Nothobranchius furzeri: one gene and its partners. The protein of the gene in region 1 interacts with the protein of each later gene in a pairwise test. Links are inferred from orthologs where the notes say so. Each region holds a gene or a part of one and is shown on either strand. Other genes may lie near its edges. The genes, in order: wbp11, ddx17 and itsn1.

Evidence for each region.
Region 2: the proteins of wbp11 (region 1) and ddx17 interact in a two-hybrid assay, tested with the Homo sapiens proteins (3 studies listed by BioGRID and IntAct). The link is inferred for Nothobranchius furzeri from reciprocal best matches to the Homo sapiens genes WBP11 and DDX17.
Region 3: the proteins of wbp11 (region 1) and itsn1 interact in a two-hybrid assay, tested with the Homo sapiens proteins (2 studies listed by BioGRID and IntAct). The link is inferred for Nothobranchius furzeri from reciprocal best matches to the Homo sapiens genes WBP11 and ITSN1.

The regions. Positions count from the first base shown.
Region 1 is NC_091752.1:67,492,806-67,496,066, reverse strand, and holds part of wbp11 (WW domain-binding protein 11), read left to right. Parts: coding exon 1-61; intron 62-1,525; coding exon 1,526-1,759; intron 1,760-1,852; coding exon 1,853-1,972; intron 1,973-2,046; coding exon 2,047-2,334; intron 2,335-2,403; coding exon 2,404-2,589; intron 2,590-3,261. UniProt on the Homo sapiens protein: Activates pre-mRNA splicing. May inhibit PP1 phosphatase activity.
Region 2 is NC_091746.1:24,951,227-24,955,528, reverse strand, and holds the start of ddx17 (probable ATP-dependent RNA helicase DDX17), read right to left. Parts: upstream 2,860-4,302; 5' UTR 2,660-2,859; coding exon 2,607-2,659; intron 983-2,606; coding exon 820-982; intron 732-819; coding exon 635-731; intron 495-634; coding exon 361-494; intron 278-360; coding exon 212-277; intron 110-211; coding exon 1-109. Other genes in the region: ntan1 (protein N-terminal asparagine amidohydrolase), read left to right, coding at 3,341-3,421, 3,969-4,071. UniProt on the Homo sapiens protein: As an RNA helicase, unwinds RNA and alters RNA structures through ATP binding and hydrolysis.
Region 3 is NC_091752.1:40,915,251-40,918,900, forward strand, and holds part of itsn1 (intersectin-1), read right to left. Parts: intron 3,430-3,650; coding exon 3,328-3,429; intron 3,241-3,327; coding exon 3,159-3,240; intron 3,087-3,158; coding exon 2,988-3,086; intron 2,914-2,987; coding exon 2,830-2,913; intron 2,678-2,829; coding exon 2,594-2,677; intron 2,506-2,593; coding exon 2,374-2,505; intron 1,517-2,373; coding exon 1,436-1,516; intron 1,145-1,435; coding exon 1,023-1,144; intron 842-1,022; coding exon 759-841; intron 680-758; coding exon 596-679; intron 1-595. UniProt on the Homo sapiens protein: Adapter protein that provides a link between the endocytic membrane traffic and the actin assembly machinery. Acts as a guanine nucleotide exchange factor (GEF) for CDC42, and thereby stimulates actin nucleation mediated by WASL and the ARP2/3 complex.

The DNA of each region.
Region 1 (3,261 bases):
CCTCCACAGGTCCTGGCGCTGTATGGCATTCCTTCTCGACGATCTTACGGCTCTGACGCAGGTAGCCCGCTGACAGATGCTAGCATGGGTTAGGTTGGTGCGGAGATCAGGGCGACGCTTCCCACTCCCCTCCCTGTCATTTTGACCAGTGATACAAGCAGGTCGGCTGTTTTATACTAGGGTTCGAGCCACGGCTGCCAGAAAGAGGACGTAATGTTTTTTAGATTTTTATTGAGGAAATATTTTGGGAACGGACATTTAAAGAAAGCTGCAGACTTGGTTATCCATGGTAGAATAAACGGCTTCCTCCAGGTCACGAATCGGCTAAGTGACTAGTAAATATCAGAAGAAGAAGAAAATATCATTTCTATAGCGCCTCTCAAGATAAAAATCACGAGGCGCTTCACAAAAACAAAAAATGTAAAAATATAAAAAAGCATGGCATTACAGCAAAAAATTGCTGGAATGCTATGTTGTCAACAACGGTAATTTCTACTTCTACTATGGTGTAGTGTTGGATGCATGCCGTAGAGCATTTTTTAACAGCGTCCTCGTCTTTTCCGACAGTGCGAGCTATTTCTCTCCAAGAATTATTAACAACATGTTGATCACGGTGATCTCTGAGAGCTGAATCATACAAATGTCTGTATTTACGAACCTCTGCCGTACTAGTTCTTGCCGGTCCGCCATGTTTTTCCGTGTCCGACCGTCCGCGTGGTTAGAAAATGTCCTAGGTGCGCGTTGAGGAAATTTTGGGCCGTGCGGAGGCGCGGTGGAGGGGCGTGGTTTTTAAAATGACGCAACTTTTTCGCGCGGAGCCGTGCGGACCTCGCGGACGCGTCAAGCATAAACGAACCTTGCTTGTCTGAGCTAACGTGTGCCGTCAGAAACATTCAAACCATTTTTAAAAGAGAAGTTCAGCTTTCAAGTCAACTAAAGTGCGCGACTCTGCGCTCGTGCTGATGAAGCATAAACCAAGCTTTAGAAATCTGCCTGAACCTGCTGATGTGGGAGGAGTTTCTCTCTCCCTTACTCAACTATGTTCTCTCTCTCTCTCTCTCTCTGTCCCGGGCCCACCCACGGTGCATTATTATCGGCTCTAGCAGCGCTGTGTGTGGGAACATGAAACAGGGAAAATAACCTGAACATGCAGCTCTGGCAGCTGTGGAGCTGGGCTCGGCTCTGGGCGGTACACCCCACCCCCCTCCCCCTCGCTGGCTTTTGCCGCCGCCACGCCATAACACAGGGGGAAACCCCCGGATGTAAAAAAAAGTTACACAACTGATCCTGGATCAGTCGAAACCGCTAAAACCACAGCTTTGACGTTCACGTGATCGTGCTGTTTGAAATCGCGATTTTGGTCCAAAAACGATAGTTCAGCCCTATTCTGCTCAATAAGCCTGTTTATTGTAGAGCTGTTACTAGATATCTCAGATTAAATTGGGATTAAACCCTAATTTTCATGACTTGATGAAAAATCTGAAAGCGAGGAGTATTTTTGTGCTTTTGTTTAATCCGTCATCAGATCTCTCCATTCCTGGCTTGGAGAAGGAATCTGCCCTGGACTTGGGCCGGGATCAGTACAGCGGCAGCGAGAGCGACAGAGATCGGGACGATCTGGATGACAACAGTGACTCTGATGAAGACAGCGAAGAGGACAGGGACGAGGAGGGAGACGGCGAGCAGCGAGGGCGTGCGGAGCGGCGGGCTGATGGCGGGGAACGGGAGGAGGACAGAGACAGAAGTGAAAGACATGCCGGTCAGTGCTGCAGTGTGTTTGAGCTCCTGAGTGTAATCCTAATGGCTTCGGGTCCCTCGTGAACGTGTCGTTCGGGTCTCTGACTTGCTGCAGGACGCAGCGTACGCTTCGCAGATCTGCCAGGAGATGATTCCCATGATGGGAAGAAGAAGAGAGGGGCGAAGAAGACCAAGGCCATTACGCCTCTGCAGGCCATGATGTTGAGGATGGCAGGTACGGTCATGTGATCACGTTCCGCCTCACGTCCTGTTCAGAACTAGGGTGCATGACAAGTCTGTCGTCCTCAGGTCAGTCGGTTCCCGACGAGGAAGAAGAGGAGGAGGAGGGAGAGGAGGAGTTCACAGATGAGTCGGACGCGTCTGACACCGAGGACCGGGCTCCACCGGCAGACGGCCAGTCCCAAGTCGTGGCCAGTCAGCGCCTCCCCCCTCCTGTTGGGGCCGTGGGTCAGCAGGGACCCCCTCCACCTTTACAAGGCCCACCGATGACTGGTCCTCCTCCACTGGGCCCACCACCAGCTCCTCCAATGAGACCTCCCGGTCCCCCGTCCGGCCCACCTCCTGGCCCCCCACCAGGTTAGCTTCATTCAGAAGAGATGACTGTTTTGGTGGCGGGACGCGTTTCTTATTTTCTCTTCTGTTTAGGCGCTCCTCCGTTTTTGAGGCCACCTGGTATGCCCGGAGGAATTAGGGGCCCGATGCCTCGTCTTCTGCCCCCTGGTCCTCCACCAGGTCGACCCCCTGGTCCTCCGCCAGGCCCTCCTCCCGGTCTTCCACCAGGTCCTCCACCCCGCGGACCCCCACCCAGACTACCACCCCCGGCACCACCAGGTAGGTGTATAAAGCTACAAGGAGGTACTGCGTAGTTTAATGGATGTGACTGCACACACCTCAGTGGTCAGCGGTTCCATCAGGACAGGTCTTCTCGTTGCCGGGTTGTCCTCTGTGACTTTTCCAGGTGTTGCATTCAGCTCCGTTTCCAACCAGACGACTCTGTTTCAGGGTAAAGCTCACGAGCCCATGCTTGAAAACTGCTCACCACGCACTCTGTAGCGACACGACAGACCTTCGGACCCGTAAACCCGGGAGCGAGGTGAACGTCGTGCTGCTACCGGCGTCTGTTGTCCCTCAGGCTTGCCGTAGTTAGAGGAGGACGCGCTGGGGTTCATGGGGTTGGAGGTAGAGGAAGGAATGACATTCAGGAAGTAACCCGAGGTTTGGGGATCCAGGCAAAAATGCTTAGAGACACTGTGTGTGTGTGTGTGTGTGTGTGTGTGTGTGTGTGTGTGTGTGTGTGTGTGTGTGTGTGTGTGTGTGTGTGTGTGTAGACACGGAAGTGGCTGGGCAGCCGTGGTGCTGCTCAACAGTGTCCCTCACCAGCAGAATTTCACACGTTTGATTTTCCTGCCACCGCGTGATTGCCAGTCGGGGGCTGGTCGCGAGGCGTTGGTCGCTTTGGTGACCCCGGTATACGACACAAAGCTCAACGCAGAGCTCGGCTCG
Region 2 (4,302 bases), on another chromosome or scaffold:
GTGCTCCACCATAGACGCAGGTGCTTTTGATGCGGGATGACTTGCCGTAGTCGAAAGCGACCTGCTGAACCTGCTGGGCCAGCTCTCTAGTTGGAGCGAGGACCAGACACTGTAGGGATACAGAATGATGACCAGCTAGCTTTGTGTGCACACAAGCATTAAGATTTAGATGCAAATCTCCAGTCTGAGGTTGTGTCACGTTTGTACTCACTATAGGACCATCCCCCCTTTCCAGATAGGGCTGGTGATTAATGTGAACAATAGCTGGAAGAAGGTACTGCAAGGAACAAAAAAACAATCATGTTAAACTGTCATTGCCCATTTGTTAATGATGATAGGCTTTCAGGGATGAATTCTTACAGCCAGTGTCTTTCCAGAGCCCGTCTGAGCGATTCCCACCATGTCCTTGCCGCTCAAGGCCACAGGGAAACCCTGGGACTGGATCGCTGTGGGCTCCTTGAAGTTCTGATGCATCAGAACATCCATCACATACTCTATAGGGCAAAAGCAGGAGATTATCAGCATCAATTGAAGGTATTAACATGTTAAGCCCTTAGATGTTTTACAGAAAATTCATTGTTGATGAATTTGTTAAATATTATTTGTGTGTGCAGTATTAGGTGTGTTCCCTCACGAGGAAAATGTGCCTGGTGGAAAGCAGTTAAAGGCTTTGGGCAGCCTGAGCCTCTGACGGTGACCTCCTTCTTCCTGCGAATCTCTTCAATGTCATACTGGGATAAAGCAACAAGAAATAGAAGAAGAGACATGAAATGTGTTGTGTTCTTCTGAAACAACTGTATGCAAGAAGAAGAAACATACCTGACTCATTCGTTGGACCTCTGGGTGTTCGTTGTAGAAGTTCTTTTCAAACTTTGGCAGCTCATCCAGGTTCCATCTTTTCTTGCGAAGACGCTCACCGGGGTTACCAAACTTCATGGGTGGTGGTCCGTTGCGGCCACCCATGCCCCCTCCAAACCTTGGCCTGAGATGTTTCAAGAGGTAAAAGAAGAATCAGAGGAATTAGTACGAGGAGCAGGTTGACGGATGTCAACGCCACACTTGGGCTTCACCTGTGGTTTTTATCTTTATCTGCACCTGTAATGCTACTACTAATAATAATAATAACAAGCTTTATTTGAAGCATCGTTCTAAAACTCGAGGTCATTGTACAGTAAAAGGAAATAAAACACTCAAACAAGCACAAAAACAATACATGAGTAGTAAATATAAAACCATGATAAAACACATGATATAGTTGTATACAGTATATAATAGTGACATAGTTTGAAAGTTTTGATTAAATGACTGAATTTAAAATGTTTTTTTTTTTTTTTTTACAAAATCTAGTACAAAAAAATACAGAATAACAAATGATAAACCTTATTAGCATTATCCGCGGTAATATCCAGTAACCGTACACAATTTCTCAAAACATTCATCCTGTTTAACCCCAACACCCTCCAACCGGGGGCCTCTACAGTTTCATGTCCCAATCATCTACTACTGTCCACATACTCCAAACTAAAACCACAATCAAACAGCCCAGGTGGGAAAAAAGGCCATTTTAAATTGTAATAAATTAAGATACAATGATGTTTGAACTTTACTTTAGAAGAGCATCTGACCTTCTCTGGTGTCTGCTGGAAAAAAAAAACCTTGAACAAATGTAGTTGAGGACCCCTGGAATAAATACAACAATTGACTAAATTTCCTAAATGGAATTTGAACTCACAACCTCCATCCTGTCAGCACGTTTACACAGGGCAGCTCTTCTAAAATAAAGTTCAAGTATCATTTTATCTTAATGTATCAGAAACCAAAAATTGCTTTGTTTACTATCTAAACTATTTTGATTGTAGCTGTAGCTGTGCTCGGGGAATGCAAACAATCACTCACACTTGGGACATGAAACGCCAAAGGCCCCCATTGTTTGGGAGGCGCCAGGGCCCAAAGAAAAAAGGCCTAGGGCCTAAAGGGTTATTGGAAAAGATTCTCCAGCAGCGGTGATTTAGTCACAGGCTATGTGACCACTAGATGGCGCCAGATACAAAGAATGTCTTTCTAAACTGGTTGTTTTTCAACACCACTGAGCAATATGGGTCAGAGTTCAGAGTGAACCCTGTGTGTGTGTGTGTGTGTGTGTGTGTGTGTGTGTGTGTTTTCTGCCTGTGGAAAAATATATTTTTCCATATTTTGAGAACTTGAGTTTAGTTTAAAATCTACAGATTTGAGAGTTTATTTCCTGGTTTATTGAACACAATTTTTCAGAAACACATCTGCTTATTAAAAGCAACAAATCCGTAAACAAAGTCCAGAGGGCCTCAGTCCCAACCATGGTCCAACATCTATCTATTCACTGAGCTGCCGAGCTCCAACTTCTTCACATTTCACCGATGCCGTTGTTTAGTGGTTTTACAACGACTCGAGAGTAGGAAAACAAACCTCGTCATTGGTGAGACAGAGGAGTCAAATGAATTGAAAACAGTCTTTAGGCCCCTTTGGCGCCTTCGTGTTTAGTTTCGGGAATTTTCTCATTCTCAGTTGATCATATGATTTCACGGCAAATAGATCAAGCGTTTTGAAAATCACCAACAACAATAACTAACCTGTCTCGTCCACGGTCTCTGTCCCTGTCTCCATAAGATGAACCCCCTCTCATGTCGGCAACGCAAATATTCTTACCCGTAGTATTTTTCGCGTTAGCTGGAGTCGATTTGTTGACGTTGCGTTCAGAATTAAAGAAATGCAAATTAGATAAAGACACAAAAATTAAATCCTAGTGAACTATAATACACGAATTAGGCAATAACAACGCTACAATAACATTGTGACCAACAACAGCTATATGCGTCACGAACTAACCTAGCTTGTTTTTCTCAAACCCGATGACGTTGTTCCTGCTAGTACGTTAACGTAGCGTCGTGAGTGGTGCCGTCTCTAAAAAAGCCTTAGCACTTACGTAACCTGACTAAAAGCAATGGTGAATGCAATTAGAACAAAAAAATGGTGTCGTCGAAAACGAGAGCTTGTTTAACAACTAAAACGTAGAAAAATGTGTATTGCAACCTATAAATGAAAAAAAGCTAAACTGGACAATAGTGCGTTTAAAACATCTTTATCTGGTTCTAGTAAACAAGAAAATAAAAGGTCTGTATATCAACCAGAAGGGGGCGACATTGCACCGAGTCGTCCATGCGTTTCACGAGGAAACGAAGAAGACAACAGCTGCAGGAAGTTCAAGTCGAGATGAGACAGACAGGCGTTTGGACGTGACGTTTTTAAGTTATTGACATTTTTAAAGCATGAACTAGCTGATTATCAAGTGACGCTCGTTAAAGAAATGCCTTTGTTCATTCAGGGTAGAGAACTTGGCCGCATAAGGTCGACAGAGGAGTTGTTCAGCAAATATCCACATTTACAGGTTAGTGTGGCTATTAGCTGTTCAATAATTTTAGCAAGTAAACACTGACTTCGTCGGTTAACGCTGTTTAAGTCTTTTATATTAGACTGTACTCTTCTGAATGTCACACCATCAAGTTTTTTGCATTTGAAAGAAATCGCTGTTTTGCCTAATCATAAGAAACACGTTTTAATTAGTTTTAAATAGTACAAGTCACTAGCAAAACAATGATGCAAGCTAATAACAATGATTTCCTCTTTGTATTCAGGTAGAAAGAAGTACAAAAGTACTAAAACACTAAATATAGCCTGCCCTTTTTTCCCTTGTAAGGTCTGACTCTTCTGTTGTTCTAACCACTTTCCTCTGTTCCTCATAAGTACACAACTCACCATATCAGGTACAAGGACTGGGTAGGAAATTATAATGGGAAACACCCAAAGCCTAAAGAACTGCTTGTCAAACCCACGTCTAGAATCTCTGGGGTCAAATAAGACTGGTCAAAAACTTTTACCTGTCAGGTATGAGGCACTTAAGTTGTTGTAACGCATGATGTGTTCTTATGTTACAGGAACATGCTAGAACCTTTCGCTCCAGGCCTCTGGTTGAAGTGGACCCAAAGTGCCTCCTGTATGTTCAGCAAAGAGAGTTTGCAACAACAACTCCAGCAGACGGTAAATACAAACCTATCACAGAACGCATCAATCTGTTTGGTTACAAACTTTATGACACAATTATTTGATTTGTCTACTCAGGTGTTTCAGGTAGATATCTTTATCTATTTTTCCTGGATCTGAATGCTCATGCATTAGTCATCAAATTGTAATACAGACGATTTGGGGCAGCAGTAGCTCAGGAGGCGGGTTGCCCAGTGATCAGAGGGTGGTGGGATAGATCCCAACCCC
Region 3 (3,650 bases), about 27 Mb from region 1:
TCTTCCTCGTTCTTCACGGGCCGTGATGCGCTTGGATGAAAACATCTACCTCTGTAGCTCCTGATCAGCTGATGACAGCTTCAACACACCACGCTGCTTAACTCACGCATTTTCTGATCAGTAACAGAAACGACGTTTTGATAAAAGAAGACGGTAATTAATTAGTTTGCTCGTTACTGAAAGAAATTTTTTTTTAGCAATGCGGTTATTTTAAATGGCGTTATTCCTATCACTGTTGATAAGTAAAACTGGGCTTATTGAAATAAACGACCCATGTTTATTTCCATCTTGTTGCTGCTTGTGGATCCCTTTTGGTTTTTTTTTGGGGGGGGGGGGGGGGGGGGGGGGTTATGTGGTATCTGACTGGAAATGACAGAGACAGTGATGCAGCACAGGAGTGGTGTGTTCAACCAAAGCAGAAGAGCAATGTAAGTGTTGTGGTCACTTTTACACAGCCTGGAAAGTGTGGGAAAATATAGAAAACATCAGTAAATATCAGTTAGCTGCCATAACTGCAGCATTAGTGTCTGTCCAAGTATTTGCGTTGGTGCATCCTTGCTAATGATTAGTTTCAATAGAAGTAGAGTTTACGTACCGTGAGAGCGGCAGGGTTTGAGCTCGATCCCCTCTACGATGTTGACCATCAGTCGACCGATACCCGTCGCCCTCTGAGAACGCACTGGGACAGAGAAAAGCAGACAAGTCAGCTTTCACTCTAGAGATGATGAAAATAGTCTGTTGATGTGAAGGACAACTACCTAAATACGCCTTCTCCCTCTTCTTCTTCTCCGTCTCAATGAAGAGCTCTGAAGCTGCCTTGATCTTCTGAACCCACGCCGTCCTGCACAAACACACCGACTCTCACATTTATAAAAAACTTTCATCAGCTGTTTTCATGAACAAAACGACTTAAGTTGGTTTTTAAGGATCAGAATCAGTCTGCTTACACAAAGTCTCCAAGAGTGTGTTTTTTCTGATTCAGAGACTCCAGGCGGGTTTGGACCAGCCGCGTTTATCTTTACCTTTCATTGATGCTTTCGGCTCTGAGGGTGTAAACCCGGTCTATGTGAGAGATGTGGAACAGAGGCTCGTCTCCTGAAGGGTCCGTTGGCAGTTTCACTAACACTTCATTCAGGAAGATTGGCTGAAAAAAAGCAAGAAGTATCAGGTAAAAAGGACCTTCTCTCACAGTAGATTCATTTAGTGATCAATTTCATAACAAACATAATGATTCACTGTGTTGTTTCAGGCTTCAAAAAGTCAAAGAAAAGATATAAAATAGACTTGATTGTAAAATATTAAAGTTAAAACAAAGATCAGTTATAGCTGGAGTCAAATTTTAAATGAATCACAGAATAATGAAGAAAAAAGACAAAACTTTGTTTTCTAATGCAAAAAAAGGTGAGTGCAGGAGGGTGTTTGTGAACCATCTCACCGTTTTGTACATGCGATACTGCAGGTGTGTTTTTGAGGAGAAGACTTTGTCTGATCCTGATGACCCCAGAGGTTTGGTGACCTGAAATAAGACGGTTTCATCTTCAAAACAAGTGTTAATCCAGTATTTGATGAGGCAGGATTAGAAACAAGACAACCAAATGCTCTGTTGTTCAGGTGCAGACGTCACCAAGTGGGCTGGTGTTTGAAGGGAGAACACATTTTGACACAACACCAGTAGCTCCAGGCAAAGTTTCTCTGTACAGCAATCAGAACAGTCTCCTAAAGTGGATCCAGCACTTCTCAGGGAGTGGACTCAGTCACAGTTTAGCTCACAGAACACAGCCATGAACAAAAATGGTACCAAAACATCATCCCAGAGGAACTCCTCCAACCAACAGAGCATGGTTTGGTGATGAATAAAGTCTTCTCTAGCATGATGGAGCACTGGGCCAGAAGGAACAAGTTCTGGATCCAGGTTCAGTAAACTCCCCAGACCTTAATCCCATTGAGAATGTGTGGGGTCAATCCTCAAGAAGCAGGCAACAAACTAAACATCAGTTAGGATTTGGACCAGAGGACAACATGACAGGGTGAACTGCAAAGCTGTTACAGCAAATTAGGACCCTTTACATCACGCAACTCAATAAAAGCTTTTGAAACAAACTAATCTTGTAATTATACTTCAGTAACCTTAGAAATATCTGACAAAATGCACTTTTTGAAACCCAACATTTCACTGCAGCTGTTAAGGCAGGAATCCGGAGTTTCCTGCCTGGTTCCCTAGCAATCCACTTTTCTGCCTCTTGATGGTTTCTTCTGACAAAAAACATTGGGTTTCTGCTTTAAAAGGACATCCTTTTTTCTCCAATTTCTGAAAATGCCATTGAACAGAGGATGTGTTTAAATGGAAGGCCAGCTAACGGCACTCAGACTCACCTGTGTCAGTAGCAGGAAGTCGTTGAACAGGAAGCCATAAAGCTCCTTGCTGCTTTTTGCTTTGAACAGTTTCCCACTGTGGAGGAACTTCCTGGGTCCCAGACAGTTGGTGACCGAGTTAAACACCAGTTGCTAAAAGACGTGGAGAAAATTTATCTTATTATTTTTATTCAATTAATGAAAAAGTCAAACCACTGAGCTAGCAAGTAAACAATTTTACCTCTGAGAGTCCCTCACACTGCACATGAGCCTGAATCCACTCCAGACGATCAGAGTTCTCCTTTTCTCTGACGCCTTCATTCACCTAAAAACACAGAAGCATACGCTTAACAAACACATCAGACAGGGTTTCAAACATGGAACATCCATCCCTCCGTCATAGCAGAGCACGAAAAGGTCCAGATGTGATCAAATCAGGAGGTAACCCGGCCTAAATGTACAGTTCGAGAGGTCTACCTGTGAGCAGAGCTCCTCAGCTTTCTCCAGAGCAGCTTTCAGGTGGCTGTGATCTGGGTGAGACTCTGGAGTGTTTTCCAAGATCTGTGAAAGCACAAAGAGCCGTCAGACACCTTGGCTGCTCAGACTGACTAGAGGTGTGTGTGTGTGGTTCATACGTTTTTGATGATGAGAGGGTAGCGTGTGACTCTTTGCATGGGTTTGAGGAGGAAACTAGACAGAGGCATCCCCTTGCACCTGGGATCCATGGCCAACCTCTGGTGTAAACACGAAGCATCAGAAACAAATTGCTGAGGGAGGATATGACCACTGTTCTCGAGGCAGGTTACCTTCAGGAAGTCTTTGATCTCAGGGTTGTCGTCGGTTTTCTGCTGGATCAGCGTGGCTCCGTTCAGCTGACACGAACAGAATCTTAACCCAAAAAAAATGAGATCACTCTCACAAATTATCATTCAGGTTTTTACAAGTAATGTAGTGACAGCAGAGGACGGACAGAACCTGATGTATGGCTGCATGTGGGGAAGCTGGTTGGTCAGGATGTCACCTATCATCTTCACAGGCATCCGATCACCGGACATCTTCTTCCTCACCCGAAGAGCCCTGCAGGGAAACGATGAACAGAGGTCGGAAGCAGCACGATGGTGCAGGAAGGTTCCTGTCTGAACGCTAGGGAACTTCAGGGCTGAACCATTTTAAAACATAATTAGATTTTTTGCTTTTTTTTCAGCAGTAGCTCAGGAGGTTGAGCGGGTTGTCCAGTAATTGCAAGGTTGCAGGTTTGATCTTGGCTCCTACCAGAGAATTCTGCTGTTGTGTCCTTG